2 linked regions of the Callithrix jacchus genome follow. The protein of the gene in region 1 binds, or shares a complex with, the protein of each later gene. Links are inferred from orthologs where the notes say so. Each region holds a gene or a part of one and is shown on either strand. Other genes may lie near its edges.

The links. The genes of interacting proteins can lie anywhere in the genome.
Region 2: the proteins of IL1A (region 1) and S100A13 are in contact, whole or in part, in an NMR structure (PDB 2L5X), measured with the Homo sapiens proteins. The link is inferred for Callithrix jacchus from reciprocal best matches to the Homo sapiens genes IL1A and S100A13. Residues at the interface, in NP_000566.3 of Homo sapiens: Asn148, Gln150, Tyr151, Thr194, Ala195, Gln196, Asp197, Leu203, Leu204, Lys205, Glu206, Met207, Gly216, Ser217, Glu218, Thr219, Asn220, His239; in NP_001019381.1 of Homo sapiens: Met1, Arg25, Gln26, Glu27, Gly28, Arg29, Lys30, Asp31, Ser34, Asp68, Ser69, Glu70, Lys72, Phe73.

Annotation. Positions count from the first base shown.
Region 1 is NC_133515.1:21,801,731-21,805,249, reverse strand, and holds part of IL1A (interleukin-1 alpha), read right to left. Parts: coding exon 3,303-3,519; intron 3,009-3,302; exon of another isoform or gene 2,925-3,008; intron 1-2,924. UniProt on the Homo sapiens protein: Cytokine constitutively present intracellularly in nearly all resting non-hematopoietic cells that plays an important role in inflammation and bridges the innate and adaptive immune systems.
Region 2 is NC_133519.1:14,050,498-14,054,785, forward strand, and holds the start of S100A13 (protein S100-A13), read right to left. Parts: upstream 2,812-4,288; 5' UTR 2,728-2,811; intron 412-2,727; 5' UTR 364-411; coding exon 319-363; exon of another isoform or gene 194-318; coding exon of another isoform or gene 50-193; intron 1-49. Other genes in the region: S100A1 (protein S100-A1), read left to right, coding at 50-193. UniProt on the Homo sapiens protein: Plays a role in the export of proteins that lack a signal peptide and are secreted by an alternative pathway. Binds two calcium ions per subunit. Binds one copper ion. Binding of one copper ion does not interfere with calcium binding.

The sequences.
Region 1 (3,519 bases):
ATGAAGGCAGAAATAAAGATGATCTTTGAAACCAATGAGAACGAAGACACAACATACCAGGATCTCTGGGACACATTTAAAGCAGTGTCTAGAGGGAAATTTATAGCAATGAATGCCCACCAGAGAAGCAAGGAAAGATCTAAAATCGGCCCCCATTCATCAAAATTGAAAGAGCTAGAGGAAGAAGATTAAAAAACTCAAAAGCTAGCAGAAGACAAGAAATAACTATGATCAGAGCAGAACTGAAGGAGATAGAGACACAAAAAATCCTTCAAAAAATCAATAAATCCAGGAGCTGGTTTTTGGAATAGATCGACAAAATAGACAGACCACTATCAGGATTAATAAAAAAGAAAAGGGAGAGGAATCAGATGCAATAAAAAATGATAAAGGGGATATCACCACTGACTCCACAAATTACAATCAGAGATTACTACAAACAACTCTATGCACATAAACCAGTATACATGGAAGAAATGGATAAATTCCTGGACAGTTGCACCCTCCGAAGCCTAAACCAGGAAGAAGTTGAAACCTTCAAATGACCAATAACAAGGGCTGAAGTTGAGGCAGCAATTAATAGCCTACCAACCAAAAAAGTCCAGGTCCAGACAGGTTCACAGCAGCATTCTACCAGACGTACAAAGAGGAGCTGATACCATTCCTTCTGAAACTATTCCAAACAATCCAAAAAGGCAGAATCCTCCCGAAATCATTTTATGAGGCCAACATCATCCTGATACCAAAACCCAGCAGAGACTCAATAAGAAAAGAAAACTTCAGGCCAATATCCATGATGAACATAGATGCAAAAATCTTCAATAAAATACTGGCAAACCGATTGCAACAGCACATCAAAAAGCTTATCCATCATGATCAATTAGCCTTCATTCTGGGGACACAAGGCTGGTTCAACATACACAAGTCTATAAACATAATCCACCACATAAACAGAACCAAAGACAAAAACCACCTGATTATCTCAATAGATGAAGAGAAGGCCTTTGACAAAATTCAACTGCACTTTATGCTAAAAACCCTCAATAAACTCGGTATTGAAGGAACATATCTCAAAATAATAAAAGCTATTTATGACAAACCTACAGCTAATATCATACTGAATGGGCAAAAACTGGAAGCATTCCGTTTGAAATCCAGCACTAGACAAGGATGTCCTCTGTCACCACTCCTATTCAATATAGTATTTGGAAATTCTAGCCAGAGCAATCAGGCAAGAAAAAAAAATAAAGTGTATTCAATTAGGAAAGAAGGAAGTCAAATTATCTCTATTTGCAGATGACATGATTGTATATTTAGAAGACCCCATCATCTCAGCCCAAAATCTCCTTAAACTGATAAGCAACTTCAGCAAAGTCTCAGGATACAAAATCAATGTGCAGAAATCACAAGCATTCCTATACACCAATAACAGACTAACAGAGAGCCAAATCATGAGCAAACTCCCATTTACAATTACTACAAAGAGAATAAAATACTAGGAATACAACTAACAAAGGATGTAAAGGCCCTATTCAAGGAGAACTACAAACCACTGCTCAAGGAAATAAAAGAGGACACAAACAAATGGAGAAACATTCCATGCTCATGGTTAGGAAGAATCAATATCATGGAAATGGCCATGCTGCACAAAGTAATCTATAGATTCAATGCTATCCCCATCAAGCTACCAATGACCTTCTTCACAGATCTGGAAAAAAACACCTTAAACTTCATATGGAACCAAAAGAGAGCCCTCATAGCCAAGACAAACCTAAGCAAAATAAACAAAGTCAGAGGCATCACACCACCTGACTTCAGACCATACTACAAAACTACAGTAATCAAAACAGCATGGTACTGGTATGAAAACAGAGTTATAGACCAATGGAACAGAACAGAGGCCTTGGAGGCAATGCCACACATCTACAACTATCTGATCTTTGACAAACCTGACAAAAACAAGCAATGGGGAAAGGATACCCTGTTTAATAAATGGTGCTGGGAAAACTGGCTAGCAGTGTGCAGAAAGCAGAAACTGGACCCCTTCCTGACACCTGACACTAAAATTAACTCCAGATGGATTAAAGATTTAAAAATAAGACCTAACACCATAAAAACCCTAGAAGAAAACCAAGGCAAAACCATTCAGGACATAGGCATAGGCAAGGATTTCATGACTAAAACACAAAAAGCATTGGCAACAAAAGCCAAAATAGACAAATGAGACCTAATTAAACTCCAGAGCTTCTGTACAGCAAAAGAAACAATGATTAGAGTGAACCGGCAACCAACAGAATGGGAAACAATTTTTGCAATCTACCCATCTGACAAAGAGCTAATATCCAGAATCTACAAAGAACTAAAGCAGATTTACAAGAAAAAAACAAACAAACCAATCCAGAAGTGGGAGAAGGATATGAACGGACACTTTTTAAAAGAAGACATACATGAGGCCAACAAACATATGAAAAAATGCTCATCGTCACTGATTATTAGAGAAATGCAAATCAAAACCACATTGAGATACCACCTCACACCAGTTAGAATGGCGATCATTAAAAAATCTGGAGACAACAGATGCTGGAGAGGATGTGGAGAAATAGGAACACTTTTACACTGCTGGTGGGAGTGTAAATTAGTTCAACCATTGTGGAAGACAGTGTGGCGATTCATCAAGAACCTAGAAATAGAAATTCCATTTGACCCAGCAATCCCATTACTGGGTATATATCCAAAGGATCATAAATTGTTCTTTTATAAGGGCACATGCACACATATAATCATAGTGGCACTGTTTACAATAGCAAAGACCTGGAACTAACCCAAATGCCCATCAACAATAGACTGGACAAGGAAAATGTGGCACATACACACTGTGGAATATTATGCAGCCATAAGAAACGATGAGTTCGTCTCCTTTATAGGTACATGGATGAACCTGGAAACCATCATTCTCAGCAAACTGACACAAGAACAGAAAATCAAACACTGCATGTTCTCACTCACAGGTGGGTGTTGAATGGTGAGAACACCTGGACACAGGAAGGGGAGCATCACACACTGGGGTCTGTTGGTGGGGGCCAAGGGAGGGATGTGGAGGTGGGAGGTCGGGGAGGGATAACATGGGGAGAAATACCAGATGTAGGTGACGGGGGGATGGAGGCAGCAAACCACATTGCTGTGTGTGTACCTATGCAACAATCCTGCATGGTCTGCACATGTACCCCAGAACCTAAAGTACAATAAAATTAAAAATAAAAAAATCCTTGAAAACAAGGATATTATTGTGCTTGACCCCTTACCTTCTTCTATGTCATTGGCGATGCCCTCCAGGTCATCATCAGTGATGGAATGGTTTAAAGTCAACCGTCTCTTCTTCAGAACCTTCCCATTGGTTGACACTATCACCACACTCTCCTTGAAGGTAAGCTTGGATGTCTTAGAGGTTTCAGAGATACTCAGAGACACAGACTGATCCATGCATTCTTCATGGTGTGAGCCATAGTTTACATCATAGAA
Region 2 (4,288 bases), on another chromosome or scaffold:
TGCTGTACACCTCCCTATACACCTCCCTCTCCCTCTCCTCCCACCACAGGCCCAGAAGGATGTGGATGCTGTGGACAAGGTGATGAAGGAGCTAGACGAGAATGGAGACGGGGAGGTGGACTTCCAGGAGTATGTGGTGCTCGTGGCTGCTCTCACAGTGGCCTGTAACAACTTCTTCTGGGAGAACAGTTGAGCAGCCACTCGGCAGCGCCCTCCCTCTCCACCCTGCCAGACCTGCCTCTTCCCCCTGCTTCCACCTCACACCCCGTCCCTATCCATAATCCCACCCTTGCCCGCCGCCCCCCCACACACACACACCAAGGGCGCAAGAGTAGCGGTCCAAGCCTGCAACTCATCTTTCATTAAAGGCTCTTCTCTCGCCAGCCATCCGATGTCTGTCTCCTCTGGGACCTGGAAGTGGGTGGAGAAGTGAAGACTGTTCACTGCCAACTCCCCTTATGTGGGGAAGTGTCTTATTTAGAAAGAGGTTGAGGTGCATTATATCTCCCTACTTGAGGAATGCTCATGGTCCAGGAAAGTGGGGGTTCAAGGTTCCAGTTGGAAGTCGAGGAGACATCAGCTTCTCAGCTATAAAACCAGAGGAAGGGTGCCGTGGCTCACCCCTGTAAACCCAGCACATTGGGAAGCTGAGGCAGGCAGATCATGAGGTCAGGAGTTCGAGACCAGCCTGGCCAACATGGCAAAACCCTATCTCTACTAAAAATACAAAAGCATTAGCCAGGCGTGGTGGCATGCGCCTGTAATCCCAGCTACCTGGGAGACTAGGGCAGGAGAATTTCTGGAAACCGGGAGGCCGAGGCTGCAGCAAGCCGAGATACACCACTGCACTCCAGCCTGGGCAACAGAGCAAGAGCCCTCTCAAAAAAAAAAAAAAAAAAAAAGAGGCCGGGGCAGTGGCTCATGCCTGTAATCCCAGCACTTCAGGAGGCCGAGGTGGGCAGATGTGAGGTCGACAGATCAAGACCATCCTGGCTAACATGGTGAAACCCCATCTCCACTAAAAATACAAAAATCAGCTAGGCACAGCGGCATGTGCCTGTAGTCTCAGCTACTCAGCAGGCTGAGGCAAGAAAATTGCTTGAACCCAGGAGGCAGAGGTTGCAGTGAGCCAAGATCCCGCCATTACACTCCAACCTGGGCAACAGAGTGAGACTGTCAAAAAAAAGACAGAAAGACCAAAGGAAGAAAGCCAGGAGGGAAGGAGGGAGGGAGGGAGTAAGGGAAGAAGGAAGGAAGGAAAGAGAAAGAAAGGAGACTATATGGAGTGTACCTCTGTTGCCCAGGCAGCTGGAGTGCAGTAGCACTATCTCCGTTCACTGCAGCCTCTGCCTTCCGGGTTCAAGCAATTCTCCTGCCTCAGCCTGCCAGGTAGCTGATATTGCAGCAGCACGCCACCATGCCCGGCTAATGCTTTTGTATTTTTAGTAGAGACGGGGGTCTCACCATATTGGTCAGTCTGGTCTCGATCTCCTGACCTTGTGATCCGCCTGCCTCGGCCTCCCAAAGTGCTGGGATTACAGGCCTGAGACACCGCGCCGGCCGAAAGAATCTCCTTTCAACCAATGAACATTTACTTAACTGGTACTATGTGTAAACATTGTGTAGGAACACAGGATCCAGGAGTAAGCAAAATAATCACTATCCTTATCTTCACATGGGTAAGGATGCTGGGCCATTACTTACACACTCACACACACACGCGCACACACCTGTGAGCAGAAATGCCAGGAAGGAAAAATGAAAGGGTCTTGACGTGCCTATGGGGCGGGGTTGCATTCTCTCATTAATCAAACGTATGCACACTGTATTGTGTACAAAACCATTAAAAAATCTTTTACTGAGGCCGGGCGCGTTGGCTCATGACTGTAATCCCAGCACTTTAGGTAACAGAGGAGGGCAGATCATTTGAGGTCAGGAGAATTGCTTGAACTCAGGAGGCAGAGGTTGCAGTAAGCCGAGATTGCACCATTGCACTCCGGTCTGGGTGACGGAGACTCCATCTGCAAAAAGAAAAAGAAAGAAAGAAAGAAAAATTCCTTATTGAGCAGGGCACATAGCTCACGCCTATAATCCCAGAACTCGGGAGGCTGAAGTGGGAGGATCATCTGAGCCCAGGAGATCAAGGCTGCAGTGATCCTTGATTGTGCCACTGACTGCAGCCTGAACAGCCCGTCGCAAAACAACAACAAAAAATCAGAGAGAAAAGATAAATCCCTTTGTAGGTCTGCAACAAAATCAACACGGATGGCAGGTGTGGAGGGAGGACATGGAAGAGAAATCGGAGATGCAAAGGTGCCCTCACAAGAAGGATTAAACAGTATTGTGGGGAGAGGAGGAAGTGAGGAGGAAAACATGGACGGGCGGCCGTGGAGCCGGCGAAGGATCCGCGAGGAGTGTGCTCCCAATACTGGCCTCCTGGGCCTTGGCCGGAGCATTTACGGCACTTCACAACTCTCAGACTGGGCGAGTGGACATGAGGGGAAAACCAGTACAAATTCCCCAGGCCCAGTGGTCCGGTAGAAGATGAGGCAAGTCCATGTAAAGATTTTATTTTATTTTTTTTTTAATAGAGACGGGGTTTCACCATGGCCAGGATGGCCTCGATATCTTGACCTCGTGATCCGCCCGTCTCGGCTTCCCAAAGTGCTGGGATTACAGGCGTGAGCCACCGCGCTCCGCCCGTGTAAAGATTTTTAAACTGTGTACCTTGGCTGGGGAACGGGGGGACGAGGGAACTCGGGACTAAAATCCCCTCTACGAACTACCCCAGGAAGTCGCCGTGCAACCACTACGGTAACGGCCTACGGTAACCCTGCACGACCCCACTACGGGACCACTGGCCACGCCCCTGGGGGGACGGAGCACTGCTTGCAACGCTAAAGTAACGTTTGCTCAAGCCCCGCCTTCGCCATAAGGCTCCGCCTCTGATTTCTGCGCAGGCGTAGCTCAAATCTTTCCCGCCCTCTAGTCGTGCGCAGATCTGACTCCTGACGTAATTGCGTAGACGCCATTTTAGCCGGTCCTACACGCACGGGACGTGGCGGCCATTTTGTTTTGGACACTGAGACGGAGCTGGCGGCCGCTGCAGACGAAAGTCGGGAAAGGGCAGGCCGAGTGAGCAGACGGATTTGCCGACTAGACAGCCAACCAGCAACAACAAACTAAGTTCGCATACTACAGCTTACGCATCTAACCAACCGCCCATCTAGCTAACCCGAGCCCCTCCACCGTCAATTCAGGTTCGGCCGGTCCCCGGCCCGCCTGCCGGAGCCGTGGTGGCAGCCCCGGGAGGAACCCTGGCGTCTGTTTCCTTCGGTGAGTTTCGGTAGTGAGAAGGAGCAGGGAGTCTTGGGGAGTGGAAGGGGCCAGTAGATGCGGAGAGCGGGTGGTGGCACGTGGAAACGGCTCAGGTGGCGGAGCGTGGAGGCCCCGGGGAGGAGGCGGAGCCCCTGCGAGGGGACGGGGGAGGGGCTGAACTGGAACCTGGTGGCGGGATTGAGGGAGGTTGGGTTTGATAGGGATAAAAAGGGAACTTATTTGGCGGGTTGAGCAAAAGTGGGAGTCTTGACAGGGCTTTGAGGATGGTAGGGAGATTAAATGAGAAATGTTGGAAATTAATGGCAGCGTTAGGGTTAAATATTGTGGAGGGCTCTCTGCGAGCTAATTACCAGGTGAATATAGAAAACCTTTCCTAATCACTGCCCCAGATCCTCAGTTCCTTGTTAAAGACCCTACTTAATTCTGGAGTTGAAATCCAATTTTGAAACTAGGCATACCTGTATTTTCACTCTGTAAATCTGTGTTTCTCTACTTTAGCTGCACATTGGAAGCACCCCTAGGTAGCTTTCCCCCACCCCACAATTATTCATTTCCAAACCTCACTACCAGAGATTCTGGTTTAATCTAGGCCCAGATATTCGTATTTTTTTAATTTATGTTTTAATAGAAACAAGGTCTTACCATGTTGCCCAGGCTGGTCTCGAACTGCTGGGCTCAAGCAGTCCTCTCTCCTTGGCCTCCCAAAGTGTTGAGATTACAGGCGTGAGCCACCTTGCCCAGCCCTATTTTTGTTTGTTTTTGATACGGAATTTCACACTTGTTGCCAAGGTTGGAGTACAATGGCATGCTCTCGGCTCACTGCAACCTCTGCCTTTCGGGTTCAAGCGATTCTCCTGCCCCAGCCTCCCAAGTAGCTGGGATTACACAGGCACTGTCGCTAGCCCGGCTAATTTTTTTTTTTGCTTTCTTTTGTTCGTTTAAGACAGTG